4 linked regions of the Arabidopsis thaliana genome follow. The protein of the gene in region 3 interacts with the protein of the main gene of each other region in a pairwise test. Each region holds a gene or a part of one and is shown on either strand. Other genes may lie near its edges.

What was found.
Region 1: the proteins of AT4G22240 (region 3) and AT5G22620 interact in a two-hybrid assay, tested with the Arabidopsis thaliana proteins (one large-scale study listed by BioGRID).
Region 2: the proteins of AT4G22240 (region 3) and VDAC3 interact in a two-hybrid assay, tested with the Arabidopsis thaliana proteins (one large-scale study listed by BioGRID).
Region 4: the proteins of AT4G22240 (region 3) and AT3G61310 interact in a two-hybrid assay, tested with the Arabidopsis thaliana proteins (one large-scale study listed by BioGRID).

What each region holds. Positions count from the first base shown.
Region 1 is NC_003076.8:7,515,862-7,523,095, forward strand, and holds AT5G22620 (phosphoglycerate/bisphosphoglycerate mutase family protein), read right to left. Parts: upstream 4,421-7,234; 5' UTR 4,363-4,420; coding exon 4,061-4,362; intron 3,832-4,060; coding exon 3,726-3,831; intron 3,633-3,725; coding exon 3,416-3,632; intron 3,321-3,415; coding exon 3,202-3,320; intron 3,043-3,201; coding exon 2,950-3,042; intron 2,774-2,949; coding exon 2,708-2,773; intron 2,611-2,707; coding exon 2,512-2,610; intron 2,393-2,511; coding exon 2,285-2,392; intron 2,209-2,284; coding exon 1,870-2,208; 3' UTR 1,838-1,869; exon of another isoform or gene 1,642-1,837; 3' UTR 1,368-1,641; downstream 1-1,367. Other genes in the region: AT5G22610 (F-box/RNI-like/FBD-like domains-containing protein), read left to right, coding at 1-318, 412-561, 660-1,055. UniProt on the Arabidopsis thaliana protein: Phosphoglycerate mutase-like protein lacking PGM activity, but having 2-carboxy-D-arabinitol 1-phosphate (CA1P) phosphatase activity.
Region 2 is NC_003076.8:4,887,324-4,894,161, reverse strand, and holds VDAC3 (voltage dependent anion channel 3), read left to right. Parts: upstream 1-2,558; 5' UTR 2,559-2,772; coding exon 2,773-2,821; intron 2,822-3,277; coding exon 3,278-3,345; intron 3,346-3,528; coding exon 3,529-3,639; intron 3,640-3,742; coding exon 3,743-3,829; intron 3,830-3,922; coding exon 3,923-4,131; intron 4,132-4,220; coding exon 4,221-4,521; 3' UTR 4,522-4,639; exon of another isoform or gene 4,640-4,869; intron 4,870-4,991; 3' UTR 4,992-5,198; downstream 5,199-6,838. Other genes in the region: PIN8 (Auxin efflux carrier family protein), read left to right, coding at 225-750, 826-1,015, 1,347-1,432, 1,519-1,676, 1,759-1,835, 1,937-2,003; AT5G15080 (Protein kinase superfamily protein), read right to left, coding at 5,607-6,109, 6,202-6,325, 6,399-6,535, 6,617-6,752, 6,835-6,838. UniProt on the Arabidopsis thaliana protein: Forms a channel through the mitochondrial outer membrane that allows diffusion of small hydrophilic molecules. The channel adopts an open conformation at low or zero membrane potential and a closed conformation at potentials above 30-40 mV.
Region 3 is NC_003075.7:11,764,079-11,769,626, forward strand, and holds AT4G22240 (Plastid-lipid associated protein PAP / fibrillin family protein), read right to left. Parts: upstream 3,345-5,548; 5' UTR 3,150-3,344; coding exon 2,728-3,149; intron 2,608-2,727; coding exon 2,412-2,607; intron 2,327-2,411; coding exon 2,012-2,326; 3' UTR 1,725-2,011; downstream 1-1,724. Other genes in the region: AT4G22235 (defensin-like protein), read left to right, coding at 1-11; AT4G22250 (RING/U-box superfamily protein), read right to left, coding at 3,607-4,251. UniProt on the Arabidopsis thaliana protein: Probably involved in light/cold stress-related jasmonate (JA) biosynthesis.
Region 4 is NC_003074.8:22,685,861-22,695,424, forward strand, and holds AT3G61310 (AT hook motif DNA-binding family protein), read right to left. Parts: upstream 7,291-9,564; 5' UTR 6,586-7,290; coding exon 6,129-6,585; intron 5,814-6,128; coding exon 5,746-5,813; intron 5,645-5,745; coding exon 5,513-5,644; intron 5,428-5,512; coding exon 5,266-5,427; intron 5,185-5,265; coding exon 4,939-5,184; 3' UTR 4,721-4,938; coding exon of another isoform or gene 1,802-4,720; 3' UTR 1,750-1,801; downstream 1-1,749. Other genes in the region: AT3G61290 (O-glucosyltransferase rumi-like protein (DUF821)), read left to right, coding at 65-129, 231-441, 532-912; AT3G61300 (C2 calcium/lipid-binding plant phosphoribosyltransferase family protein), read left to right, coding at 1,802-4,720; AT3G61320 (Bestrophin-like protein), read left to right, coding at 7,959-8,822, 8,888-9,055, 9,142-9,348, 9,438-9,564. UniProt on the Arabidopsis thaliana protein: Transcription factor that specifically binds AT-rich DNA sequences related to the nuclear matrix attachment regions (MARs).

The sequences.
Region 1 (7,234 bases), on a different chromosome or scaffold from region 3:
GTGCATTCTCAATCATTAACCAGTCTAAGTGTAGGATATAAATCATATTATCCTGGTGAGATATATTATTATTATGATAGAGATAGAGGGAACTCGGGACTTGTGATTGATGCCCCTAGACTCAAGTATTTGACTTTCAACAATGACCAATCGAAAAGTAAAACCATAAGCAATTTAGGTTCCTTAGTTAAGGTCACTATTCTTGGCCCCATAAAGATTTCAAGGGTAGTGGGCTGTACGGAGCAACAAATGGCCCATAAGTTTCTCACGGGCATCTCAAGAGTTAGGTATCTCATCGTCTCTGAAGATATGATGGAGGTATGTTTTTATGAACTTCATATTGTATATATAATCCTATATAGAACTTTTGCTAACCCATTGTCTTCTCTTCGTTTCTTTTTTTGCAAGCAGGTCATCAGTTCCTACTTGAAAGAAGATTCATTGCCACAGTTTGGCAACTTGTCCTATTTGAAAGCAAGTGTTTGGTTATCATCCTTTGACTTCCTGGACATCCTGCCAAAGCTTCTTGAAAGCTGTCCGAATCTAAAATCCATCGTCTTGGTAATGACTTGCACCAACTTCCAAATTAATCTTGTAGTTAGAGAAATGATCTTGTTATATATCTAGTTTATATTATATTCATCTTATGTATATTGTAGGAAACAACTTGTATAGTTGATCGTACGAAAGCTACGGTAGAAAGGAGAGTCTCGTCTGTGCCTGAGTGTTTGTTGTCATCGCTGGAGTTTGTAGAGATAAAAAACAGAATCTCGGTAGATGATGGTGCATTGGAAGTTGCAAGGTACTTTGTAGAGAACTCTGTGAATCTACAGAAAGTTGTTCTGCGTTTGGCATCTTCCTTTCTAAGACGAGGAAATCAAGCTGTCTTGAAGGATATCCTTGAATTGCCGAGGCGATCTAGCATGTGTCAGATCGAAGTCTTTAATGCGCTAAACGGCCATGCTCTTTGTTTTCGCAAAAACAAAATAACCGGCCGTGTTTTCTTAGACTATTTTGATGTTGCTGAATCCTATTATGGTGCCATTGTGAGTTAAAGTGGCAAGGTACTTTGTAGAGAACTCGGTAGTTCTCAAGAAACTTGTTGTGCATTTGAGTGACTGTTAGAAAGACTTTTAGGTGGTGCTATGACCGAGACTAGCACTCCTAGAGATTGGACTTGGATTTTGATTTTGTTGAATTCTGTTATCATGTCTTTGTATTTATATATACTTTGGACAAAGCTCTCAGGGTCAGATGATGATGTTGAATTCCAAACTATTTTTCATGCAAAAAATTGCTATACATTACCGTAATTTTGCCGGGATTTAGGAAAAGATTCTTCAGGCAGGTCTTGTGATGGGGATGGACCATCTTCCAAGATGAGCGGTGTTACTCCTTTGTAGGATTTTCCACGTATGGCTCCAATAAGTTTCTCGTCTGTGCCTCAATGTTAGTTGTCATCCCTCGAGTTTGTAGAGATAAAAAGCAGATTCAAGGGGAGGCCTGATGAAGTGGCAAAAGGTACTTTGTAGAGAACTCGGTAGTTCTCAAGAAACTTGTTGTTCATTTGAGCGATTACATGCAGAAACGAAGTTTGGTTCACTTATTAAGGGATCTCCTTGCATTCCCAAGGCCGTCTAACTGTCAAATCGTATACGTTGTTGACTGTTAGAAAGACTTTTAGGTGGGGCTATCTAGCTACGATCAGACCGATATTAGCATTCCTAGAGATTGAACTTGCATTTTGATTTTGTGGAATTCTGTTATGATGTCTTTGTATGGTTTTGTTGAATTCCAAACTATATCTTATGCAAAAAATTGCTAAAAATAACATTACCGTAACTTTATCGGGGTTTAAGACAAGATTCTTCAGGCGGGTTTTGTGATAGGGATGGACCATCTTCCAAGATGAGCGGTGTAGTTTGTGCAACGGATTACTCCTTTGCTACTAGGACCATCCGGGAAATCTATGACACTGATGCTACCTGCGTCTAGGTGAAACAACCCGAGCGCTTCTTTAGTGAGGTTAAGGCATTGTGCTATGAGTGAAATGTGAGTCATTGCAGGACCAACCACCACCATGATTTCTCCAGGGTTTGACTTCTCATCCGATAGTTCGTCTAAGAGTGATTCCCATGCTTTCTCGGATCTGTTCCACAGAGCTGAAAACGCTTCTTCGTCTAATTGACTTGCAATCACATCATTGTCCTGCAGAATTGATGGACCAAAAATATCAAAACAGTGTTCACTTTACTATTGATTGCATCGGGATAAGTTATCTTGCCTTATTGGATTTGCGAAGAACACTCTCAACATCAAGCTCATTCATTTGTTTCGTTTTCACGTAGTGAGGCACATTATCTACACCTAAACAACCCGCAGCTTCTTGCACCTATCAAGTCTTTAAACTGTTAAGAGAAAAAAAAACAAGATTCCGAAGAAATAGATTTCTTAAAGTCTTCAGTTTTTTAAGAAAAATGAAGCTAGTATATAGAGAGTTATATAACTTACCCGGGATATTACTCCAGAAGACTCAATGGAGGCTGTTTTAGGGCTGCAAACTATTGAACTAACCCTTAGATCAAGTAGAAGCTCTGCGGTTTTCTGTGACTGCAATAATCAACAAGTATATTTGAAGAGTAAACTAAATGCAGGATTAAGAACTTTTTTACAATTGTCCTTCACAAAAGTCATATGTTAATGTTACATGTATCACACCAAGCATGTTCATTGCCTGATCATTATTAGCTGCTTGGTTAATAACAGCAGAATCCTGAGATGTTGAAAAACAAAGAAAATCAGGTAAAATTTGACCTAAAGCCTCCAAACTTTTCTTAGGTCAGAAATTTGTGTAAAGAGCTAAACACCTTCCAAGCGCATCCATGGAGGTTAATTCTGGCAAATAAAGATTAATTAAGAGAACCATGTAAGGGATTCATACAACTATACCTCATTATTCCCCTGACCATGGCAGACAAGTATAATCTGCTTACTAGCTTTCCGGCCACCAGAACTTCCACCAGCTAGAGGCGAATTAGGTGTCTGCATTAGTACTACAAAGACAGTAAGCAGAATTTTGACTACCTCTAACATTTTACACCCAACTCAAGAATCTTGCAACAACAAAAAAAAAGTTCATATAACTAACATGCTTATGACTTATGACTTTCGTGTTTCATCAAAAAAAGAAGGTCAGCTTACCTGATTTAGTCGATTAAGACATACGTGAGGAGATCCACCGTCAGCTCTTGGTATGAAGTCCAATACACTTACACCACAATTGCTCTGCAACAAACTCCTAAAATATTCTGTTCCCAGTCCTAACATATCAACCAAAAACCACAGACTTAAAAAAAACTTAACAGAGAAATGAAAAATCGGCTAGTCGCTAAAAGAAGAAAAAAGAACAAGTTACCAATTGCTGTTGCCAGAAGAGCCTGATTAACAGCATTATGAGCAACAACGAGAACAGACTTGCTCTCATGAGCAAGAATACCAGGCCAACAGCTTCTAGCACGTGACCATAACTCTCTTACGGGATAATGACCATCGATGATAAAGTTCGCCGGATCTTCTTGCCATTGCTTAAAAGCTTCCCCAAACTTCTCTTTCCCTTCTTTCTTAAGTAGACCCTAGTATATAACCATCAACTAGAACAAGAGTTAAGAACAACTACGATAACTGTTCTATGTGAATCTATATCTCCCTATCACAGCTACACTTACTTGAAAAGAGTAGAGATCGATTTCTCTGAGATCGTAATCGAAAATCATCTCACTTTCTCTACTTCCCCATATGATTTCAGCTGTTTTCTTTGATCTCTTCAATGGACTGATGATCACAATGTATAACAACAACAAATGCAGCCAAATTTACAAAAAGGCTTTAACAACAAAAATCTCCATCACAAAGAACAAGAACAAAAAAATTGCAGTGATTACTATCATAATCTGTATCTCTGATTCTTCATAGTCAATTTCATCAATTCGATGTAAAATCCAAATCCAAGTGACTAGATTTCAAATACCGATTCAATAGATATAATAAGAAAATGCAGGACCTGGTGAAGCAGACATCGAAGGAGTCGTCGATAAGCATCTGACGAGAAATTTCAGCCTGAGACTCGCCTTTCTTCGTCAAAACGGAGAAATCGGAGCTTCCTTGAATCCTCCCTTCTTCGTTCCACGTGCTCTGTCCATGTCTCACAAGAACCACTCGCTTCGTCGTCTCCACGGTGAATTGGTCTTGTAAGCTCGATGATGATCGAATCAATAAGCGGCGGCGAGTCGAGTTTTGCCGGCGGGTTTTGTGGAGAAGACACCGGCTGGGTAAAATCGGTGTAGTGAGTGGTAGAGAAATCATTTTATTTTATTTTTTGTTTTATGTTTTTAGAAATAAGAAGTGATTCTTATTTTTTCATTTAGCGGGAAGTTCGATTTTATCGTGGGTTTTATTTGGGCCGTAAAGGCAGGCCCAATAGACCCAATTTTTATCATGCTTAATCAAGTTTTTTTATCTTTCTTTTTTTTGTTCACTAATGATTTGGTTTTCACTTCTCACTGATATAATTCACTTTGAAATACAAAACACTGGCAAGGGCCGAGGGAAAGTACATGGAGACTCCCAAAAAACTATACCAAATTAAGGTGAAACAAACAAATAATGTTATTTATCATATGTTATGTTATTAAAAAAAATACAATGATACTATGTTATTAAAAGGAAATAGCACAATTTTGCACGAATTCGGAAAACATTTGGGGAAAATCGTGAATTTTTGTTTGCCTTTATATATGATTTTTAACTGGAATTATTCCGAAATGTTCATAGTTTCATAATCTCATCAAGATTTAAAACTAAATTCTGAACACTTGTTAAAGATTCAGGTAAATTTTGTTGTAATATTGTATGTTTTGTTTCTTGAATTTTGGTTAGATCACCCCTTTCTGAATTTGTACGATCATTTATCAAACGCAATTAAACATATTCGTTTGGCATTTATTGTCGATTGCAACCAAAAGCTGATCTTGCATATTAGTTTTGTTCGTTTTGTACTTCTTGTTATATGTTGTCAGATTTTAAATGGGTTGACATGAAAATTTTGGTCACAGACTCGTACAATTTATCGACACATATAAACAACATTTAATTGTGGTTGATGGAAACGAACATGTCTATTATCATTTTTCGATAAAGTACCACTCAGTATAAAAATATTATCATTTGTGGTGAGGACAAAAAACTAAAACATAAAAACCACAATTTTCCTTGACCAACAAACAAAAACCCCCACAAATGGTAATACAATTTTACCTTTTTACGTATTACGAAACGAAGCTTACCATCAGAGACTCTTGTAGCCAAAAGAGAAGCAAACGAGATAATTGAAAATAACAAGGTTCACGTGCCGTATTAGTGGGACTTGGTTACTTTATTCACATTTTGCAAAGACGTAGAACCTTCAATACTAACGTGAACATGTAACACGTGCATCTTCTAAGTTAATATGAAGTCAATTTTGTCAACAAGAAATAAAGTCAATAGTACAAATATTTTTATAATCCATTTTCACTGGTTTGGTCTCGGTTTGATTTGTTTAGGTTTGGAAATATTCTTACCAATCTAAGTAATTAACTATGACTTTATTTTTCCTATCGTACTTTGGTACTCTTTGGGTTGGTCTGTGGTGAAAAAAAACTATCAACTATAGACTTAGAAAAAGAATTGTAGAAAAATGTTAATTCTTTTCAAGATAAAATGAGTTGTTTTGGTTTGAAACAAAAGCGAACCTAAACCTGGTGGTAAGAGAAAAGCACTACCGAAAATTTGAAATCGAACCCCTTAATTAGTTCTTCCATTTTAGAGATTTCCATATACGTTAATCATATGCTACAAATGGTTGAATTTCTTATAATTTTATTTTATAAAATTGAACGATATATCTTATCCATTAATCAAAGTTAAAATCCCACCAAATCTTTTTTGTTTTCTCAGATCATCGTGCGCACTGCGCATGCTAGCTATGTTAACGTTAGGAAAACAAATTGTACGTAAAGGTTTGAGAAACAATTGATCTGATAGGTGAATTTAGACAAACATGCCATTCTCTTTTCGATATGGCATGAAACTGGTAGAAAGAAATTTGCCATTTTTTAGTTATGTATTTTTTCGCATATTCCTACCATTTTGCTAATTAAAGGTGTAATTTAGAACGAGATATAGGTCATGATAAAAAAAAAAGGTAAAAATAAAGTCGCTAATCATATTTGACAACAAAGTTAAAAAAAGATTTTCAAACGTTAATCAAGAGTCAAGACAGATGAAAAGAAATGTAGAAAGGATCAATTCAGCATGCTTAGGTGCAATGTTAGATAGTCCCACTTGGGTTTCACCAACTTTGCCATATTAAACCTTTACAAGTTTATGAATTAAAAAAGGTTTCAACAACCCCATCGATAAATCTTTTACGGCCAACAATTGCTTGTTGATTGTTTACTTATGTTATAAAACGATATTATTTTCAATATATTATGAATATGTGTTTTCTTTTTTCAAAACGAAGAAAATAAACTAGAAATATTTATATTAGAAGCTGGGCTTCACTTTTGAGACCTGAGGTCACACCTATATATCTTTAACTTTAACGAGAAGAAACATATATATGACACACGAATTACATAATCGTGGCATATTGGAGCTGTTGTTACTTGTTAAGTTGTCAGTGATTCTTTTATTTCCTGCATTCTAATAATTTATTATACATAATATTTCGGTATAATTTAGTACATAAACTTATATTAGCGTCATAATTTTTTAGTATAAATTAGTATGTAAACTTTTTGTTAGCATCACTGCATCACATGAGAATCTCTTTTTCTCATTGATAAATGGCTTAATCAATGGGTTAAAAAGTAGGGTATGCAATCAATATACATTCTATTAGAGTTAGAGATATAGATTATATATATCTTAGGATAATCTACATCCACAAATATGTCTCACTAGATTTTTGTATGTCTTATGTGTTGTCATATGATAAAACACTAAATTAGATGTATTACCTACATATATGTCTCTCTAGTTCTTTGTGTGTATGTGGTTGTTCGAGTTGGGCCACTGTACTAGGTTTCCTTCAATGGTGCAGATCGATCAGGTTTGTTCGAGTGGGTTGCTGTACTAGGTTTCCTTCAATGGTGCAAATCAGGTTTATTCTGATTTCTGAGGCTAGTATAAT
Region 2 (6,838 bases), on a different chromosome or scaffold from region 3:
TTTTTCCCTTTGAAACAAAATATTCATTGTGGAATCAAAAACCTTGAAATTCAAGAGTTCCACATTTGAACAAAAGAAAGAAAAAAGCCATCGACTTTACCCATATATATGCCATAAGATCAACCACAGTTTCTTTCCATTAATTTGGAAGAAACTATTCCTTCGAGTTTCTTCAAATTTGTATTATTAGTTTTTTTTTTTGTATTGTACAATTTGATAAAAACATGATCTCCTGGCTCGATATCTACCATGTTGTTTCAGCAACTGTTCCTCTCTATGTCTCAATGACATTAGGTTTCCTCTCTGCAAGACATCTAAAGCTCTTCTCACCCGAACAATGCGCAGGCATCAACAAATTCGTGGCCAAATTCTCCATCCCTTTGCTTTCTTTTCAAATAATCTCTGAAAACAACCCCTTCAAGATGAGCCCTAAACTCATTCTCTCTGATATTCTCCAGAAATTCTTAGTCGTTGTTGTATTAGCCATGGTTTTAAGATTCTGGCATCCAACAGGAGGAAGAGGAGGAAAATTGGGTTGGGTCATAACCGGATTATCTATATCGGTGTTGCCAAATACTCTCATTCTTGGAATGCCAATCTTGAGTGCCATCTATGGAGATGAAGCTGCGAGCATCTTGGAGCAGATTGTTGTCTTGCAAAGCTTGATTTGGTACACCATCTTGCTCTTTTTGTTCGAGCTTAACGCCGCAAGGGCGTTACCATCTTCTGGAGCTTCCCTAGAACATACAGGTAACTAAAAATCATTCCGTTTTTTCGATAAAAAATGATTTACCCTAATTAAATCTTGGTTTCTTGTAAAACAAGGCAATGACCAGGAAGAGGCTAATATAGAGGACGAGCCAAAAGAAGAAGAGGACGAAGAAGAAGTAGCAATAGTGAGAACAAGATCTGTTGGAACTATGAAGATTCTATTGAAGGCTTGGAGAAAGCTTATAATCAATCCAAATACATACGCAACATTGATCGGAATCATTTGGGCTACTTTACATTTCAGGTGTGAAAACAAAACTCTCTTATATTTAACACTGCAATCATATCTTTTGTGATAAATCATCTTACACATCTAAAGATTCAATCTTTATCATCTTACATATTCAAACACTTCCTTTTCTCTTTTTCAAAAAGAAAAGCGATAATTTAGTAGTGAGTTTCCCCTATTTTAAGCTTTCTGTTTGATCATTTTTCGCATCTACAAATTCATTTTTTTTAATATTTTAAAATCGAAAAGTGATAGTCAAGTGATATTCCCAACTATTAAGATTAGCTTCTTTTTTTAATAGTTTGTATCAAATGTTACTCATGTTTTTATTTATTTTCTCCAATAGATTGGGATGGAATTTGCCTGAGATGATTGATAAATCAATACATTTATTATCTGATGGAGGCTTAGGAATGGCCATGTTCAGCTTAGGTAAGCTATATATCTATACAAAAAAAAAAAAAAAACTAAACTTTCATGATTGGAAATTAAATTTAATTTAACAAAAAATGAAACAGGTCTGTTCATGGCATCACAAAGTAGTATCATAGCATGTGGTACAAAAATGGCGATTATAACAATGCTGCTCAAGTTCGTATTAGGACCTGCTCTTATGATTGCTTCTGCGTATTGCATCAGATTAAAAAGTACTCTCTTCAAAGTAGCAATATTACAGGTGAAAATATTAAAATTAATAATCCGTTAATAATAAAATCTGTCATATATATGTTTTTGTCGATTGATTTATTGTGTTGTAGGCAGCATTGCCTCAAGGAGTAGTGCCATTTGTTTTTGCAAAAGAGTATAATCTTCACCCGGAGATCATTAGTACTGGGTAAATAAATATATTTCTTGATTTGATTTTTTTTTTTCCTTCTTCTTATTACAATTTTTTTGAAATTTATTTTTGTGGTTTTTATTGTTTTGCTTTTTCAGGGTGATATTTGGAATGCTAATTGCCTTACCAACAACTTTGGCATATTATTTTCTATTGGACCTATGAATATGACATGTTCAAAAAAAAAACATGTTTTATACGTAGGCTCTTAATTTTGGATTTTATATGGTATTTAATTTAGTCATAGTTTTTTAGATGTTGAAATTATAAAGCTAATAATGTCAACCATTCTCTTTAATTATTGTAAATCATTTTTCTCCTGATATTAAATTAGAAAAAAACATGTCAACTAGTAAAATCAAAATTTTGACTTATTCTTTTTAAAAAATAGGATAATAGATACTATATAGGAGTAAATATAAAAGAACACCATTTAAGAAAATTTAAATATCACATTAATAAGAACAATTCAGATGGTTAACTCTAAGAAAATAAATAGACATTGTCAAAGACTCAACAACAAAAAAAAAATTATATAAAAATAAATAAATTTTGGGGATGAAGAAAACTAGAGAGTACACGGCCTGCTTTGCTTGCCACGCAATGAAAAATGGAAAAAAGCCATAAAAAAATAAAATAAGAATACGAAAATCAAATAAAAAACATAAAAAAAATGCCTTGGAGAGAGGGGAATATATAATCAACGGTTGATAAAGAGGGACACCGACTCATGTCATATTAATCTAACGGCTGAGATATTTTTACTTGATAAGCAGGGAAATACAATATTATAATATAAATTAATTTAGGGTTACCCTTTCTTCTTCCCCTTATATACACAAACACCACACCTCATTTTCTCCAGAATCCTCCATTACTCTTCTTCTCGACTTCGGAATCTTTCAAAGCTTCTTCGATTTTTCCAGAGGCAATCATGGTTAAAGGTCCAGGACTCTACACTGAAATCGGCAAAAAGGCCAGAGGTACGATCTCTCTCTCTTTCTCTATGGTGACGCGAATGTGACTGTTGTTGACATTTCGTAAACATTTGAGCTCTTTTCTGATCTGGGTTTAGGTTGATATTCATTGAATCGGTTAGGGTTTCTCATTCCTGGTTTTATTCCGATTTCTATCGGTCACGCTTAGGTCGTTGAAATTTGAATAGATGCATAAAAAGTTAAATATTCGTGTTTTGTGAGCTGATTGATAATATCTGTGTTCGTTTCCGTCAGATTTATGCTATCCGTTTCGTTTATCTGTATAGATAGAATAACAAGACTGGTTCTCTGGGTTTCAATTTTTGGGTCACTCGTTGATTAGCTGGTTTTGAAATTTTTTATCTTGGATCTGGAAAATGTCTATCAAGGATACAGAGTAGTTGTCTCGTGTTGAACTTTTCTATTTGAGTTGAATCTGAAGGTTTTTGAATGCTATTGTAGATCTTCTGTACAGGGATTACCAAGGAGACCAGAAATTCAGTGTCACCACTTACTCTTCAACTGGTGTTGTAAGTTTTTATTATTGTTTTTATTTCTGTCAATTCTCTATTTTGTTGGTGCGATGGGTTTATTGTTAGTGATAAAATTGAGATTTGTCTAGTTTTCTGTTATGTCAAATTTGGTTGTACAGTTTGTTTTCATGTGTACTCTCACTTGACTCTTTCTTGTGTCGAATGGTGATAAATTTGTAGGCGATCACTACAACGGGAACAAACAAAGGAAGCTTGTTTTTGGGTGATGTTGCTACCCAAGTGAAGAACAACAACTTCACTGCTGATGTCAAAGTTTCCACTGATTCTTCTGTAAGTAGACTTTTTAGCTTTAGCTGTTTCTAGTAGATATATGATGTTGCCGATTGCTGCTGGAGTATTCAATTGATTTTTTTTTGTGTGTGAATAATTTCAGCTTTTGACCACTCTTACCTTTGATGAGCCTGCCCCTGGACTGAAAGTTATTGTTCAGGCTAAGTTGCCCGATCACAAATCTGGAAAGGTATATAACTCCACCAGCTTTCTTTTCTTTCTGTTCCGTTTTTTTAAAGGTTGGTATGTTGGAGATAACCATTATTTGTTGTTTTCTGAGCAGGCTGAGGTTCAGTATTTCCATGACTATGCTGGTATCTCTACCAGCGTTGGATTCACAGCTACCCCGATTGTCAACTTCTCCGGTGTGGTTGGAACCAATGGTTTGTCTCTTGGTACTGATGTGGCCTATAACACCGAATCTGGCAACTTCAAACATTTCAATGCTGGTTTCAACTTCACCAAGGATGATTTGACTGCTTCCCTCATTCTGTAAGTGCCTCCCTCCATATGAAATGATGACTTGAGATTTTAATGCTGCTGGTTTTAAAAGAGTTGTTTCTTAAACTGTTTTTTTTCAGGAATGACAAAGGTGAGAAATTGAATGCATCCTACTACCAGATTGTGAGCCCGTCGACTGTGGTTGGAGCTGAGATTAGCCACAACTTCACGACCAAAGAGAACGCCATCACTGTCGGAACTCAACACGCGCTTGACCCATTGACCACAGTGAAGGCAAGAGTGAACAATGCTGGTGTGGCTAACGCTCTGATCCAACATGAGTGGCGTCCAAAGTCGTTCTTCACCGTTTCTGGAGAGGTTGATTCTAAGGCGATCGATAAGAGTGCCAAGGTTGGGATTGCTCTCGCTCTCAAGCCCTGAGAAGATACCACCAAATGGGCCCTGAAGTGGGTAGAATAGGTGTTATTTCTTTTTCGTCTTCAAATCTTTGGACAAATCGCTGTCTGGTTTGCTAAACAATCTTTCATTTGTTTTTTTTGTTCGGTGTTGGGATTTGTAGAAAATAAAAGAGAAAAATACTATTGAAAGGATCGTCTTTGACGATAAAGAACCATTAAGATCGTTTTACTTGGCTCTCTCTCTTTTATTTTCCGCCTCTGCTACAATACTCTGTTCCATATCTTTTACTTGGTTCTCTCTTTTATTTTCTGCCTCTGCTATACTTTGTTCCATTTGGAGTTCCCTTAGTGGATTTTTCTATGAGGTTCTTCTTACATGTCTAATTAATTTTGTCTAGTTGGTCAGATTTTTATCTGAGGTTTAGCCAACAAGATAGGTACACCTTCAATAGCACCTGTACTGATTCTTACATAGAACCAAAAAGTCATCAGTTTTATTATTCTTCAAACCAAAGAACCAAAAGCAAGAGAAGTAGAACCTATTCCGATTAGAGCTTTGGACTGTATCGTGTTCATCAAAACCCCTTCTTTTCGAGCCAACACATCGATCATCTCGAAACCAACCTGAAAACAACACAAAGTTGTAGCATTGCCGAGATCAAATCCAGCAAATCAGTAAAAGAAAAAGATTGTGTCTTGTTCCATGATACTTGTTTCCTGGATTGCCCAACCCAACGATAAGCCAAGGAGTGTACTCTACTTTGAATCTATCATTCTGACCACCAGAAGTAGATGAACAAACACGATACCTCTGTTTCCGGGATACTGGCTTTTGCGTTTGAAAATGGTAGATACTTGGTGTTTTCAATTTATAAAGAGCATCAAAAATGTTTTCAATTTATAACTTTTCTATGCTTTCAGCAATGGAAGACAAAATCAGTTTTTTTTTTTTCCATTTGGATTTACCCTTCTCCATCGTACATTATTAATCAATTAAAGAGTTACCCTAACGTTGTTTAAAAATATCTCCTTGTTGCTTAAAAACGACGATAAAAGCTTGAGCCTTCTAGCTCTGTTCGTTTGTGGCCTATTTCCACCACGTAAGAGCTATGTAGTTGCTCCTTTAGGCTTTGGCGAAGGAATCTGATGTCGATAAGGCGAAGAACCATGAGGACTAGACAGTGTTCGAAACACGGGTTGGTGTTGCCCGTTTCTTGATCCAAATCCTTGGGATCGACCTGACCCATTTTTCAAACGTTCAGCTTGCATTGTCTGGAAGTAGTAAGAAGAGCTTGCCATGTCTTTCAGATGCGGAAGTGGTTTAAGTGCTTCCACAACATCACTCATCTTTGGCCTAATCTTGGGGTCACGGCTAAGACATTGTGCAGCAAGCTGAGTCACTTTTTGAGCACCTTTGATTGAAAAATGGCCCTCAAGCCTCGGATCAAGTAACCGGTAAAACCTTCTCTTGTCAAGAAGATGCGGTCTTGCCCATTCCACTAAGTTGTGCTCACCATTTGGGCGGTTTTTGTCCATAGATCGTCGTCCAGTCAACATTTCAAGTAGAACCACCCCAAAACTATAAACATCGCTCTTTGATGTCAAGTGACCTTAACAAGTTCAACAGGAAGCAAATCAACAAAGATGTAAACATTGAATGTTTTCAAGTTGAAGAAAATGGATGAAACCAAAGAGGACTCACCGGTCATTACATATTCGGGAGCAGCATAGCCATATGTACCCATAACCCTAGTAGAAACATGGGTTTTGCCTTCATCAGGAGCATCTTTGGCAAGTCCAAAATCTGATAGTTTTGCATTGTAGTCCTGACAATGGGATTTATTGGTTAAAAAATTTGCAAATATAAGATGTTGATCCTAAAGAGTAAGAGATACGTACTGCATCAAGTAAAATGTTTGATGTTTTGAAATCTCGATATATAACAGGCTTCAAAGCTTCTTCATGGAGGAAACTGAGACCTTTTGCAGCACCTAATGCAATCTTCATCCGGATAGACCAAGGAAGAGGCAAGGACCCTTTAAACATGAAAGCACCAGTATCATAAGAAAAACGATTAAACATGGAAACAACTTTAAAATGGTTTGATTTATACATACTTCTGAAAAGGTGATTCTCCAGACTTCCTCTAGGCATAAACTCATACACAAGCAACCTTTGATCATCTTCAATGCAATAACCAACAAGCTTAACTAGATTTGGATGGAGAAGGTTACCAAGGAAATTAATCTCAGCCTGCAATTGCAACAAGCAGGAACACATTCAGAAAACAACAAGTGATCAAATCAAAAGAAACAGAAGAAGAAGTGTCTCTTACAAGC
Region 3 (5,548 bases):
AAAGCATGTGATTGCAGATGATAGAAAACGACGTCACTTAATTTGTGTGTCTGTGTGTTTTGCTATTTGCATGTTTATGATTTCATCTCACATCCATGTTTGAGTGTTTGCCTTCTACTTTGGGGGTATCAAAATAAAGCTTTGGCTTTTGCAATAAAACTAGCTGTCTAAATTGTGTCGTTGTTTTGTTTCTTTGTTCCTTCACTTTAAACTTTTTCAGTTTTTTTTTTATAAAAAAAAATTCAAACACAAATACGTAATGATGTAGACATGTATTGTGTTACGTTTGTGTTCGTTATAATTTTTGTAATTTTTAGGTGTCATATACTGATAAAATGCCAAAAGTAGTCTGATATATATGGACTATAGTTGCTTTTTTTAGTGGTTGTCATCTTAGTCTTAGATCCATAAATTTATTTAAATTATTATACGAAGAAGGTCGGATGATGAAAGTTACTATTATTATGATAGTGTTTTAGATAATACGAATACAATAATAGTAATCAATGTATATCTTGTTTGACCGTGAAAAGTTTTAGACCCAAGAAATGGACCCTGTTTGTTAGGTGGTGGCAGAAATACTTAATTCCTTTCCAAAAATAAAACACGATTATTTTTCTTTTATACGTTTGCATAAAATTACAAAATTACAAAAGAGAACTAGTCCTTGTTGTTATATGCTGTAATTCTAATGGACCATTCTTATTTTTATTTTGTACTTAACATGATAAAATTTATAAAAATACTGTAAAACATTAATGAGTGAAGAAGATTCGGGAGATACACTTTGCATGGCTGCACATGATATGTCTTAAAACAAGTGACTTTTAAGACAAACCACAATTATTTTCTCTTTTTTCAGTAGTTTGGCAGATTACAAATTTATTGCGAATTTATCATCTAAAAGACTAAAATATAGTAATAGAAAATAAAAAAAATCATCTGCAAACCTAAACAAAAGAATGTATTTTTGACAACAAACTATATTATTACTAACGGTAGTTAGAGCGGACAAATACGTCAGCGATTTAGTCCGCTCTATTTTTAAAATGGGCAATAAACCGTTACGAACTAATTATATTTGTATGTAAAAACAGTCCGTAGTTAATCTGCAGTGGTTTTTTTTTTCTTTTTTAAATTCGCACCTATACAAATATGAATGATAAATAAAAAACAGTTCAAACCGCAAACGAATTTGTCCGCCTTAACCGTTGCAACCATTCAAATCCTATATAGCAAATATGTGCTACAATGATAAAGAGAGACATAGAAGAAAAAGAAAGTAATAAAACTCAGTTTACAGATTATTCTTCATTGTTATCATTATTATTGTCTCCTCCACTTTCAGTTTTGGCTCTGATTCATGCTCTCCGCATCAAACCCTCCACCAAACTGTACATAACAAAACACAGTTTCAAACTTTCAGTTATATGAGAAATTTGGTCAATTTAGGTTTCTTATGTTCTTGTCTGAATTGAGTTTTTCCTTTACCTGATGGTCTCTAAATAAATTACAGAAAGAACAAACACATTCAAAATAGGGCTTCAGATATTGAGAAACTCTATGGCATATGCTAGAAACCTCGAGTACTATACTAACAAGTATCCCATACCATACTAATAGAACCATTTCCAGTGACTGAGTCCCTCAAAAAAAAAATGATAGGCATCAAGCACAGAGTGAACCAATTAGACAACAAAATGACAGTCATCATCTCGATTCTTATCGAAAGACCCGACGTTGCCGGGATAATTCTCATGTAACTCTTGCATCGGTACATAGTTTACTTTCTAAATCAAACAGAAGAGAATGAAATTCTAAAACACTTGAATTTTGTGAAAATCTGAGACACATTTCATAGGCCATAGACGAGATGTTCTGTAGTAGTTAAAAACATTATATTCCTTATCATCGAGTTAATAACAACGATTAAGAAGTAAACCTACAACCACACTATATATTTGTCTCACTTAACACAACGACAAGAGAGAGACATATATTTTGACCAAGTTCAAGGATTCAAGAGAGGGCTTCCTTCTTTGATAAGCACAAAGACACTTCCACCGTCTCCTCTAGAGATCCGAATGTCTTTGTCTAGATAAGTCGTGAGTAGCCAAGACTGCGCATTGTCCGCCGGCAAAGAGAATTTCAACGGTGGTTGGCTTGATATGGTTCTAGCCACAGACGAGGCTGTGTCTTGCACCGAGGTAAGTAACCCTCTGATCGGGTTAAGATCAATCTTTTGACCAAGAACCTCTACATATTCCGGTATCTCAATAGAATCCGTTAGCTGAGGCGTCCCAATTACGCCTTGCTCAAACTTAATCTGCAAGAAAAATGAAATCCAAAACATTACTGAAAACGTTTCAAGATGTTGATATCAGATCATGGTCGATGAATGGTCAATTTACCTGGACGCGTTTAGGGCTTCGGATTTCGAATTTAGCGTTGGTGCTAATCGAGTTTGTACCTAAAGGACCAGCGAAACGAACAGAGTTCTGGACGGTGAAGTTATCTGAATCAATGGTTTGAGAGATCTCATCGACTTTTATTAACGGTACGATTCCTCGTGATAGCAACGGGAACAAATTCACGAACGATGTGTAGCTGCAAAAGAGGTTTAACCAAATCAAAAGCAGCACGAGATCTACCATTTGAATCCAGAATCCTACGAATGATGCTATCTACAGGACTACAAGAGAAAGTTTTCACCGGAAAAAAACTTACGCGAGGATCCATTTGCCGTTGAGAAGGAAAAGAGCTTCCGTCGGAGCTGGAGTAGGGTTCTTAGACTCGAGCTGTGTGATTAGATCTCCGATTTCAGCTCTGGTTTCGCTCGATGCGCTTAAACCTCGATCTGTTCCGTACAACGAATCCACGAGCGATCTCTTTAGCCGCTCCGTCTCTTCCACGTCTTCAATTGCTTCCTCCGCCGCCAATAGAGCTGATCCTATCTCTCCCGTATCTGTGGCTCGGACTTTGAAAACTCTACGGGGGGAAACAGCGATTCCTCCGGTGGAGATCATCGGGCGGTGAATAATTGAGGTCACCGGTACCAGAAACGGAGGCTTGGAGATAGATTTAGAGTTCGGTGAGATTGAAACTCTGGTTTGGCAGCTAAATTGGGTGGACAATTGTACCGTCGCCATTTTTTTTTGTTTCTTCGACTAAAATTTCGAAGCTAGTGAACAAGAATAGACCTGTACTGATTTTATAGACATTGTTACGTAAATGTTTTGCTTTCATCAACTACCAAACTCACACCAAGAGGGATAATATCGACTATTCCACATAGATCATGTACATTCGACTACGATACTGCCACGTGAGAGACAAGATCAACGGCCAAGAATCCACTCGACGGTGTGAGGCGAGCATTGTTTAGGCTAGATAAAATCCAAAATAACGGTTTACTGGGCTTGAATAGACTAAATGGGCCTCGTGAACAAAAAACCTCTTGTATTCTTTTTTGCATTTACATCATCTTCTTCAATAACCAAAAGAAACGTACAAAGTACACAAACCGTAGTTAAAACTTTGGAAACGTATCTAGGGATCACCTCACTTACTCACGTGGATCGAGAACTTTTAGCCGTCCGATCGTTTTCAGAAAATATCGAGTATCTCAATGATCGGACGGTTACAAAGAGGACACGATCCACGGTTCAGCCACAATTCTCTAGAGCACACTCTGCAAAAAGTATGACCACATGGAATAAACGCAGCGCCTTTCTTTCTTCCCATACACACGCAACACACCGAATCATTACCCGTTAACGTCCCAATAGACGCCGTTAATATCTCCGTTTCTTTCCCGTCGTCATCAACGATTTTCTCCGCCGTCTCTTCCAACAATCTCATCAACGAAACTCTCCTCGGCGTCATATCTGCCTCCGCCTCCGTCGATTCTCCACGGTTATACCTCTCCGCTTCTAACGCTGTCGCGAGATTCATACCCGTACCCGATCCATGATCCGATTCGAGAACGAGTCCGGTTTCAATTTGTAACTCTTCGATTTCGTCGTCTCTTGAGGTTGGACTGTGAAGAGTGGTGTTGTTAGTTAGACGGAGATTCCAGGTTGGACCACAGCATCCGATGCATTTGAATCTCAACCGTTCTTTTAACGTCCGTTTCCTTCTGGTGAGATCGTGACCGCTCATCTGTCGTCGGAGCAAATCAAGAAACGTCGTCGTCGTGCGGTGTGTTTCCGTCATCCTCTGACTCGTTCCGAGATCGAGTTCACTCATCATCGACTCGGTAACGGAAACTCTAAACAAATTCTCAGATAGTGAAACAGAATCACCAGTGAAATAGACAGATTAGCTCCGCCATGAGAGAGCCCTGTGAGGGAGAGAGAGAAACTGTTTAGATCTTTGGGTCTCGCAGTGATGATGACATTATAAAGGAAGTTTTCAGAGTTTTTTTTTTCTCTTCACATTTCTTTATTTTTTTTGTTAAAGTTGCTTCCGAATATTGATTTCCCGCGAATTAAAATTACTTTATACAGTTTTACTAATTTTTAACAGTTATAACGATTCTGTTTGACTGGTATTCCACACAAAATTACAGTAGTAGTGGAATCGAGTATATTTGTAAAATATTTTTCCAACTTGAGTATATAACTTTCAATTTTTAAAAACCAATTTTTAATAAGTTACTTACATCATTGTTTAAAACTTAAAAGGTTAATCAACTTATAATTATGTGTAATTTACCGAGAAATGATGTACAGTGTACGCAATGGGGGCAACTATAATGTTAGTTCTTCTGAATTTCTGATAGAAAGAGAAAAAATAAATTTACTTAAGAGGAAAAATTTAATGCTGTTTCTGTAACTGTACGACTTAGTTTTAAAATTAAATAAAAAAGTCTTCAAGGTCTCGAATAGAAACAAAATCGAATTAGTACTTAAGTTTATACTCCCTCCGTTTCATAATATAAGTTGTTTTATACCAAATTTTTTGTTTTATAATATAAGTTGTTTTCAAGTTTCTATGCAAATTATATATTATTTTAATACTTTATGATTATTTATATTCTACAGTTTTTTTTATAATTGGTTGAACATTTTAAAAATAAATATTCTTAATATACGTATTTTTAGTTAAAACAACTTATATTGTGAAACGAAGGGAATATTACCAACAAAAAAGGTCCTCCATCGGAGTTCAAACCCTATTAAAGATTAAACAAATCATCAATCGAATAAAGGTACTATTAATGTAACGCTAACTCTGAAATAAAAGCGACGATCAAAGTATTCGAATTTGATTACTGCTAATTATACTAGACTGATGAATTCTCTTACCTGTGCTATAACCGGAACATGGTTTTTTGGTAAAACCTTTCTGGCGGGAAAACATTTTTGTTATTAAACCCGCGGAAAATCATTTTAAAAAGTGAAAGGCAAAGAAGAGACAAAAAAAAAAAAAAAAAAAGAAGAAAAATTAAAGAAGGCGCATGAATCAAGGCTTTTCCCACGTGAAATGTTCGCATAGACGACGTCGTCTTTGCGCCACACTCTCCCCAACAAAACCAATAAAAATA
Region 4 (9,564 bases), on a different chromosome or scaffold from region 3:
TACAGTACTAGCTCACGAATTTATAGAAAATAAATCTGATACGTAATAGTAATGGCGATTTCAGGATTGGGGGAAGGAGAGGGAGATAGGGTTTAAAAGTTCAAACCTAGAAGACCAATGCACCCATAGGTTTATATGCAATGAATAGCTATCTCATACTATTCATGTTTAAACTTTTTTGGATTTTGTTAAATCTTTGTTGATTTGGGGATTTGGAATTGGACATTAAGGTACAAGATCTACATAGAAGGTCGAGCATGGTCGGTGAGCAAAAAATACATACTAGCATGCGACAGTATGACTCTACTGATCAAAGCCGAGTACTTCGATTTCTTCGGAAGAAGTTTGGTTCCGTTAGAACATTACTGGCCCATTAAATCTCACGAGAAATGTGGTGATCTCAAGTTCGCCGTGGAATGGGGTAACAACAACACTAAGAAGGTAAGCAACATCTATATAATTATATATATAGTATCCAAGATCTTATATCTATTTCAATCATCGATAATCGTTTGAAATCTATATATATAGGCGCAAGTTATAGGGAGACAGGGAAGTGATTACATTATGAAGAACCTAGAGATGAAGTATGTGTATGATTACATGTTGTATGTGTTGCAAGGGTACGGGAAACTAATGAAGTTGGATGTGACTGTGCCTGAAAATGCAACCGAAGTGTGTTCGGAGACGATGGCTTGTCCGATCACTGACGGTGGCCTGATCAGGCAGTGCATGGACGACTCATTGGTTATGTCTCCAAGCGTTAAATCGGCTTGTGATTTGCCGCGGCCTTATAGAGATGATGAGCTGAAGAGGTTTCTTGAGAAACAAGAAAGTGCGGAGAGAAAGGTTGAGAAGTGGACCAATGAGTATTGGGAGGCCCAAAACAAGACATTTCAACAAAGAAAGTAAGTACAATTCACCCGGGAGTAATGCAAGTGGTATAACAATATTAAATGTTTAAAACTTTATGTCAGTCGTCATATAAGCACCAACTTTGTTTGTTTTTTTAACAAATGAATATGATATCATTAATTCTTTTCTGTTAACTATCATTATTGGTTAGACGTCCGATTTTCACATAAATATTATCAATTTATCATTTAAACAATGCAGGGAAAATAATTGGAACCTTGGTTCGTTGGTGCTAATGTAAATGAAATAAATTAGTTACAAGTTAAAGAAGCATTGCATAATTGACCCCAAAAATTACGAGTTTACATTGTAAAATTAGGCATTTGCCCAAAATATATATATATATATATATATATATATATTTACAGTAAATAGCCAATTTGTGGAAGGTATTCAATTTATTTATCTGCAAAATAATTTTCGATAGATAGTTGTGAGAAAAAACCTACCAAGCGAATTCGATAGATAGATTTTTTTTGCTTGAGGTTTTAACAAATTTCATGTCTTTTTTTTTTTCTGATAACATACATGACATTTTCTGAAAACCCTACCACGCAATTTTACTAATTTTGGATTTAAATACGACAATGTACCTAATAAGCCCTTGCATTATCCCCAATCTTACTTGTTGACAAATAATGTTTTTATTTAATATCATATAAATTCATAATCAAAAGAATTCTGATGATTGGCGTCACGATTAATAACAGATAAGCGCGTTGCGTGACCCTAATTAAATACGGTCAACGTTTAATTACATTACAAAATTCCCCCAAAAAAACATTTGCCTAGTTGTCTTGTAAGACAAGTCTCCACGATCTCATAAGTGTAGAAGAAACTTTCAAAAACCTCTGCTCTGTTTTCTTCAGAAATTTTTTAAGTAAAAATGATGAGTAATCTGAAACTTGGCGTTGAAGTCATAAGCGCAAGGCTCAAACCTAGAGAGGACTATGGCGGTGTTAACGCTTACGTCGAGCTACGATTTGACGATCAGAAAGTCATAACTATGACTAAGATCGATGACTCTAGTCCGGTGTGGAACGAGAAGTTCTTCTTCAACATCTCTGATACAGAGGATTTATCAAATCAATTTCTTGACGCTTACGTTTACAATAAAACCAGCAGCATAACAAAATCTTGTCTAGGTAAGATTCGAATATTGGGAACTGCGTTTCTCCCGTACTCAGAAGCTGTTGGATTGCCTTATCCTCTAGAGAAAGAGAAATGGAGCATGTTCTCTTCCGCTGCCGCCAATGGAGGTGAGCTCGCTCTCAAAGTTTTCCTCACTGATAACCCCTCTCCCAAGGTACCGAATCTAATCTCTACAAAGAAGATTCCTTCTAAATCAAGGCACAAATTTCACAACATCCCCACAAATGAGAGTAACCATAGCCCACGAGGGAATCAGCAATCGTTTCAACCGCAACCGCCTCCGCCTCAATCGCAAACGGCTCTACCGCCACCGATGATGGAGTCTTCTCTCTATCAAGCACCGAGGTTTGGTACTCCGATACCTACAACTATGGGGTTTAATCCGAATCCACCGGATTATTCTATCAAAGAGACGAAACCGATTCTCGGAGGAGGCAAACGAGCAAGATCAAGTGATCATGATCTCGTCGAGCCAATGGAGTTTCTCTTCATCAAAATCGTGAAAGCTAGAAATCTTCCATCCATGGACTTAACCGGAAGTCTAGATCCATACATCGAAGTCAAACTCGGAAACTATACCGGCAAAACCAAACATTTTGAGAAGAATCAAAACCCGGTTTGGAACGAAGTCTTCGCTTTCTCCAAATCCAATCAACAATCAAACGTTCTTGAAGTCATCGTCATGGACAAAGACATGGTCAAAGACGATTTCGTCGGTTTAATCCGGTTCGATCTCAATCAGATTCCGACACGTGTCGCACCAGACAGTCCTTTAGCTCCAGAATGGTACAGAGTCAACAACGAGAAAGGAGGCGAGATTATGTTGGCTGTTTGGTTCGGTACTCAAGCCGACGAAGCGTTCTCAGACGCGACATACTCAGACGCTTTAAACGCTGTTAACAAATCGAGTTTGCGTTCTAAAGTCTATCATTCTCCAAGGCTTTGGTACCTCCGGGTTAATGTCATCGAGGCACAAGACTTAGTTATTGTACCAGACCGGACTCGATTGCCAAATCCATATGTAAAAATCCGGTTGAATAACCAAGTGGTTCGAACCAAACCGAGTCACTCGCTGAATCCAAGATGGAACGAAGAGTTCACTCTCGTCGCGGCTGAACCGTTTGAAGATCTGATCATCTCGATTGAAGACCGAGTCGCACCTAACCGAGAGGAAACGCTGGGAGAGGTACATATACCGATTGGTACAATTGATAAACGGATTGACGATAACCGGACAGTGCCTAACCGTTGGTTTAGTCTTAAAACTGAGAACCAGAGAAGAGTCAGATTCGCGACGACGAGACTTCATCTAAACGTTTGTCTAGAAGGAGGCTACCACGTTCTTGATGAATCTACTTACTACAGCAGCGATTTCAGACCGTCGATGAAAGAGTTGTTGAGTCATAAACAACCGTCTTTTGGTGTTCTTGAATTAGGAATCTTGAGAATTGAAGGTTTGAATTTGAGCCAAGAAGGGAAGAAGGAGACGGTGGATGCTTATTGTGTAGCTAAGTATGGAACCAAATGGGTCAGGACTCGAACCGTTACGAACTGTTTAAACCCGCGGTTCAATGAGCAGTACACATGGGAGGTTTATGAGCCAGCAACTGTAATAACAATCGGTGTTTTCGATAACAATCAGATCAATAGTGGTAATGGTAACAAAGGAGATGGGAAAATTGGGAAAATCAGAGTTAGAATCTCGACTCTCGAAGCCGGAAGGATCTACAGTCACTCGTATCCGCTTCTTGTTCTTCGACCTTCAGGTTTAAAGAAAATGGGGGAGTTGCATTTAGCGATTAGGTTTTCCTGCTCATCGATGTTTCAGATGCTAATGCAGTACTGGAAACCGCTTCTTCCCAAGATGCATTACGCAAGACCGTTGAAAGTAGTGCAGCAGGAGATTCTTAGGCAGCATGCGGTTAACTTAGTGGCAGCTCGGTTAAGTAGAGCCGAGCCGCCACTTAGAAAAGAAGTAGTTGAATACATTTCGGATTCAAATTCGCATTTATGGAGCATGAGGAAGAGCCGTGCAAATCTCTTCAGATTGAGTTCTGTTTTCTCTGGTTTACTAGGAACCGGAGAATGGTTTCAAGATATCTGCAGGTGGAAGAAACCGGTAGAAACTACAGCTATTCATATAATCTTCTTGGTGTTAGTGTGTTCGCCGGAGATGATTCTTCCAGTGATGTCTCTTTGCTTGTTCATGCTTGGGGTATGGAACTACAGGCTCCGTCCAAGACAACCTCCACACATGGACACAAGACTATCATTTGCAGACAATATCCACCCGGAAGAGCTTAACGAAGAGTTCGATACCTTCCCTTTTTCGTCTCAAGACCCGGGGATTGTAAAAATGCGGTACGAGCGGTTAAGGAGTATCGCTAGTAGAGCTCAAACGGTTGTGGGAGATATAGCAGGTCAAGGAGAACGAGTTCAGGCTCTGTTAAGCTGGAGAGATCCAAGAGCAACTTCGATCTTCATGGTGCTTTGTTTGGTTTCTACTGTCGTTTTGTATGTTGTGCCGTTTAAGGTTTTTGTTCTTCTCGCCGGACTATACATCATGAGACCTCCAAGATTCAGGGGTAAGACACCTCCTGGACCTATTAATTTCTTCCGACGACTTCCTGCTAAAACAGATTGTATGCTGTAGAATGCTAAAACGTATAAGAAACAAGCAATTTTTTTTCCCATTCATAACAAGTCAAGAGACCAAATCAACTAACTGAAAGCTCGAAAACACGCAGAAATTCCTAAACTTACTAATTGTCTTTTTCTTTCCTAAACAATACCAATAGACTACTTTGTTTCAGGGAGGTTAGCTCAAGTTTCTTCTTCTTCTCCTAGATTCAATGCTTATATATACATGAATCATCCACGCATTAGATCAATGTCCATATGGGGGTGATGCATATCCATTGACCTTGAACCAGTTGACCAAATGCCTACAGGAGTCTGAACAATGTTCTGACTTTGCTGAGGAACAGGAGGTGACGTTGCTGCTGTGTTATCGTTGTTGTTTTCCAAAGCATCAGTATCTTGGACATCTTCAGAAGTTTCTTCACGTTTTTTAATCTTCCCTTTCGGAATTGCCCAAATGAAGCTGCCAACAATGACCTTTTAAGGAGGCAAACACACATAGTTAAGCATAAGAAATCTAAATTCATCTAAGGAATTTGATAACAAGCGTAAGCTCACCTGGACTTGGCTTGCTGCTATTAGAGGACCTCCAATTCCACCACCAATGACACGACCATCGGGGCTAGCAAGTGAGACCGCTAGACTTCCAGTGCGGTTTGGGTAGTCATTGTCAGTTGTGTTCAGATAAGAAGTTGAGAGAGATATGAGCTCGAATAGACCCTATAAGTTTCAAAGTATACACCAAAATAAGTAATGTTTTTGTCTTCTAAAAGATAATAAAATGTGAGTGATGATTCAATAAAACCTCGTATATAATAGTTCCATGAGAAGGTGCTGGCTGAAGAAGAGTTGCAGTAGAGACAGCACCACTTGCGGATAAGACACATATCGCTCGTGGACCTTGATGCGAGAACGATATAACCTTTGAAGCAATGTCCTGAAAGCAACACCGAGAGTATGGTTATCTCAAGAACTAGAGGCAAGATTACAAAGAAAAAAAAGAACAGATTTATTCAAGAGGAGACAGAAGAAACATACTTCACCAATGGAAACTACGATTACATGCGGTGTGAAGCTCATCCCAGTTGATGAAGGCATCATTTCACCTTACAAAAAAGAATCAAATGTCTTCAGAAAAATCACAGCTAATTGTAATCAGGGAGAAACAGAGCAATAACAAAGTTTAAGAGAAAGGCCAAGGAATAATAAAAGAATAAATATTGAATTCAACAATTTGACATTATAAAATTCCACAGCTTTAATTAATCCTTAACAGTTCGAATTAGCTTATAATAAACTTCCCACCAATGTCCTCATTTGAAAAACTATATCATCAATTAAGCTCAAAACTTCCCACCATATTCAGAGCCAATGTCCTTGTCGGAAAATAAAACTCATAAGTTAGAGATTAGGGATATTACCAATGGAAGATAGCCGTTGCTTCTTGCCGGAGCCAGGAGGTCTTCCACGGCCACGTTTGTTAGAGTTCGGGGAAACGTTGGAGATAGAAGGAGACAATGCCAACGAAACAGAACCACCATCTTGTCCATATTTTCTAGGCCGTCCTCTCTTCCGCTTCACAGACGTGTCACCTGAAGGAGGAGCAACCAAAGCTCCCGCCGCCGCCGCTGACGAATCAGCCGGAGAAGAGTCAACGGGTAAAGGAGGAGACACGAATCCAGTAGAGACACCTCCAGGGTTTGGATTTGGGTTTGGGTTTGACCCAAAAGGAGAGATGGAATTGGTGAAATGATGAAATCCTTGTGATCCGTGAAACGTTGGTTGAGTTTGAGGAGGAGGAGGACCAGAACCGGGGATTCCTCTTTGGATATAGTAAGAACCCGACCCGGATAACGCCATTGCGTCTCTTCGATCCATAGCTTAACCAAAAAGACTCTGACTTTAACTTAGTAAAATTCGATGGGGACCCTAAATGGCTAACTTATAGGAGGAGGGATAAGAAGAGAACAAAATCAGAATCTAAAAGGGTTCGATAGACTTCAAGAGCAAGATAACAACATGCAACCGAAAATCTCTGAAAACTTATCAAAACACACAAACTTTCATTTCACCTAATTGTTTTTTATGTAGCTTTAGTATCAAGCTATGAGAAAATCTCAAGATGAAATTAGATCCAAAAGAGAAAAGGAAAGAACTTTAATTTTCTTCATCTCTTCTTCTCTGTTTCATTCTCTCACCAAAAGCAAAGAAATGAAGTGTGAATAAGCTTTCTCATCCATCAATCAACAATGGTGAAGAAAAAAAAAAGTTTTCTAGGGTTCTCTCTCTTTCTTTCTTCAGAGTGTATGTGATGTTGCTTTTTTTCTTTTACTGGGTGACAGAGGGAAAACAGAAACAAACAAAAAAAGATCCTTTCTCCAAGCATTTACTGTGGATTACAATACAATGGGATGATGAGGCAGGATTTCAAAATTCGAAATTAAATTTGAAGTCTCTGACTTTTGACTGTGATATAAGCTCTCTCTCTATCTCTCTAATAGACTTCTTTCTAGCATCTAGCAATTTGTAGGAGGGATCCATCCATCCATCATCATCATCATCTTTGTGTGGCTCATTCTCAACGCTATAGATTAGGTGCGTGTATCAAACGAAGCATTGGGAATGAGAGAGTGAATCTCACGCTTCTGATGTCGAGAGTGAGAGAATAGTGATGTGATCTAGTCAAGACTTTCTTTGTTCCTCACTGGCTTCCACTTCATCATAAGCTTTCAAAATTTATGAATCCCCCAATCTATCTTTAGACTCTATTTTACCATAAATACTTGAGACTAATGATTATATATTGGCATTAAGAGACATATAACATGAATATAAATTCCCATTTTGTGGAGTAAATATTGTTCTTGTCTCTGTTCTGTTCACTTTAAATCTTCATTTTTCTCTACAAACAATAATCATTAGGACCCAAGAGTTTATCAACAATACAGAATCTGAACGTTTAGTACTCATGTCATGTGAAGTGAAGTGAAGAAGATCAACAAGAACATTAATTGTTTGCTATAATCTTCTATGGGCCGGATAGGAATAATTAGGCCCAGTATCTAACACATCAAACAAAAACACATCGAAGTCGAATCGTCGGTGGGATAATTAGGCCCAGTATATTCAAACAAAATAACATTTAACAGATCCAAGTCCAATGTTGTCGTGGAACGAACGTCGTTTAGAATAATTAAGCCCAGTATTTAACATATCAAAGCCCAATGTTGTCCTAAAACGACGACGTTTGAATGTGGAACGTAAACAATCCTGGAACAACCGTTTCAACTACCTTTTTCCTATCACTTGTTTTTTCACCTCTCGAAGTCCTCCGATTTGCTACCCTTACGCAGCCTCATGTGTCAACCACCATTTCTCTTCTTCATCTTCGTCTCTATCAAACCCTAAACCTAAAACCCCTTATTTTCCCGCCAATGTATCAATCCATGAATCTATCAGTTTCTTCCAATTTCACTCACCGATCACTCCTCGAATCACGATTTCCTATATTCTCCACCGGATTCCGCAAATCCGTCAATCTCAAACCTCCCCGTGTCTCATCTGGTCCTGAATCCAACGATTCAGGTCACGAAACCTTAACCGATAAGCTTATCCATCTCCTCAGAGCTGTTCCAGATTGGGCAGACGAGATTAAAGAGCGTGGGATGCAGCAGAAACGCTCTCTCTACACACACGAGAAATGGGTTGAACATAGAAGCTCTCTTCGCCATGTGCGTCATCTACTCTCGAGCTTTTCTTCACGAGTTATACTCTCCCTGATTCCACCTGTTTTCTTCTTCACAAGCGTCGCGGTTGTGATCGCTAGCTACAACTCCGCCGTGGCTTTGGATTGGCTTCCTGGTATTTTTCCAATTCTTCGATCCTCGTCGTTGCCGTATCAGCTCACAGCTCCGGCTTTGGCTCTTCTTCTGGTCTTTCGTACGGAGGCTTCGTATTCTAGGTATGAAGAAGGAAGGAAAGCTTGGGTTGGGATTATTGCTGGAACTAATGATTTAGCTAGGCAAGTTATTTGTTCCGTTGATAGCTCCGGTGATGAATTGATCATCAAAGATTTGCTTCTTCGTTACATTGCAGCTTTCCCTGTTGCTCTTAAGGTAAAAAATATTCATCTCTTGCTTGACTCTATTGTTGGTTTCTGATGCTTTAATTTCATTTGCAGTGTCATGTGATTTATGGTTCAGATATAGCAAGAGATCTCCGGAACTTGATAGAAGCAGATGACTTATCTCTGATTCTTCAAGCAAAGCATCGTCCGCGTTGTGTAATCGAGTTCATTTCTCAGAGCATTCAGTTGCTAAAACTAGACGATGCAAAGAGAGATTTGTTGGTAGCATTCTTGAATCCTTGAACTCTCTATTAAAATTCTTTGCTATGAACACTTGACACCAATATATGTTCTTTGCGTCATTGCAGGAATCAAAGATGCTGCATTTACATGAAGGAATTGGAGTTTGTGAACAACTCATGGGCATTCCGATTCCTCTCTCTTACACACGCTTAACCTCGAGGTTTTTAGTCTTTTGGCATCTAACTCTCCCAATCATTCTCTGGGATGAATGCCATTGGATTGTTGTTCCTGCTACTTTCATTAGTGCTGCCTCTCTGTTCTGCATAGAAGAAGTACTTTGTCCTCCTCCTCCTCCATACTTACCCTCTTTTGCTTGAATCCTTAACCATTAAACCTTCTTTTTGGATTGGAAACTCTGCAGGTGGGTGTTCTTATAGAAGAACCATTTCCTATGTTGGCCTTAGATGAGCTTTGCGATCTTGTGCATAGTAACATCCAAGAAGCTGTTAAATCTGAGAAAGTCATACGTAACCGCATCATTGCAAAGA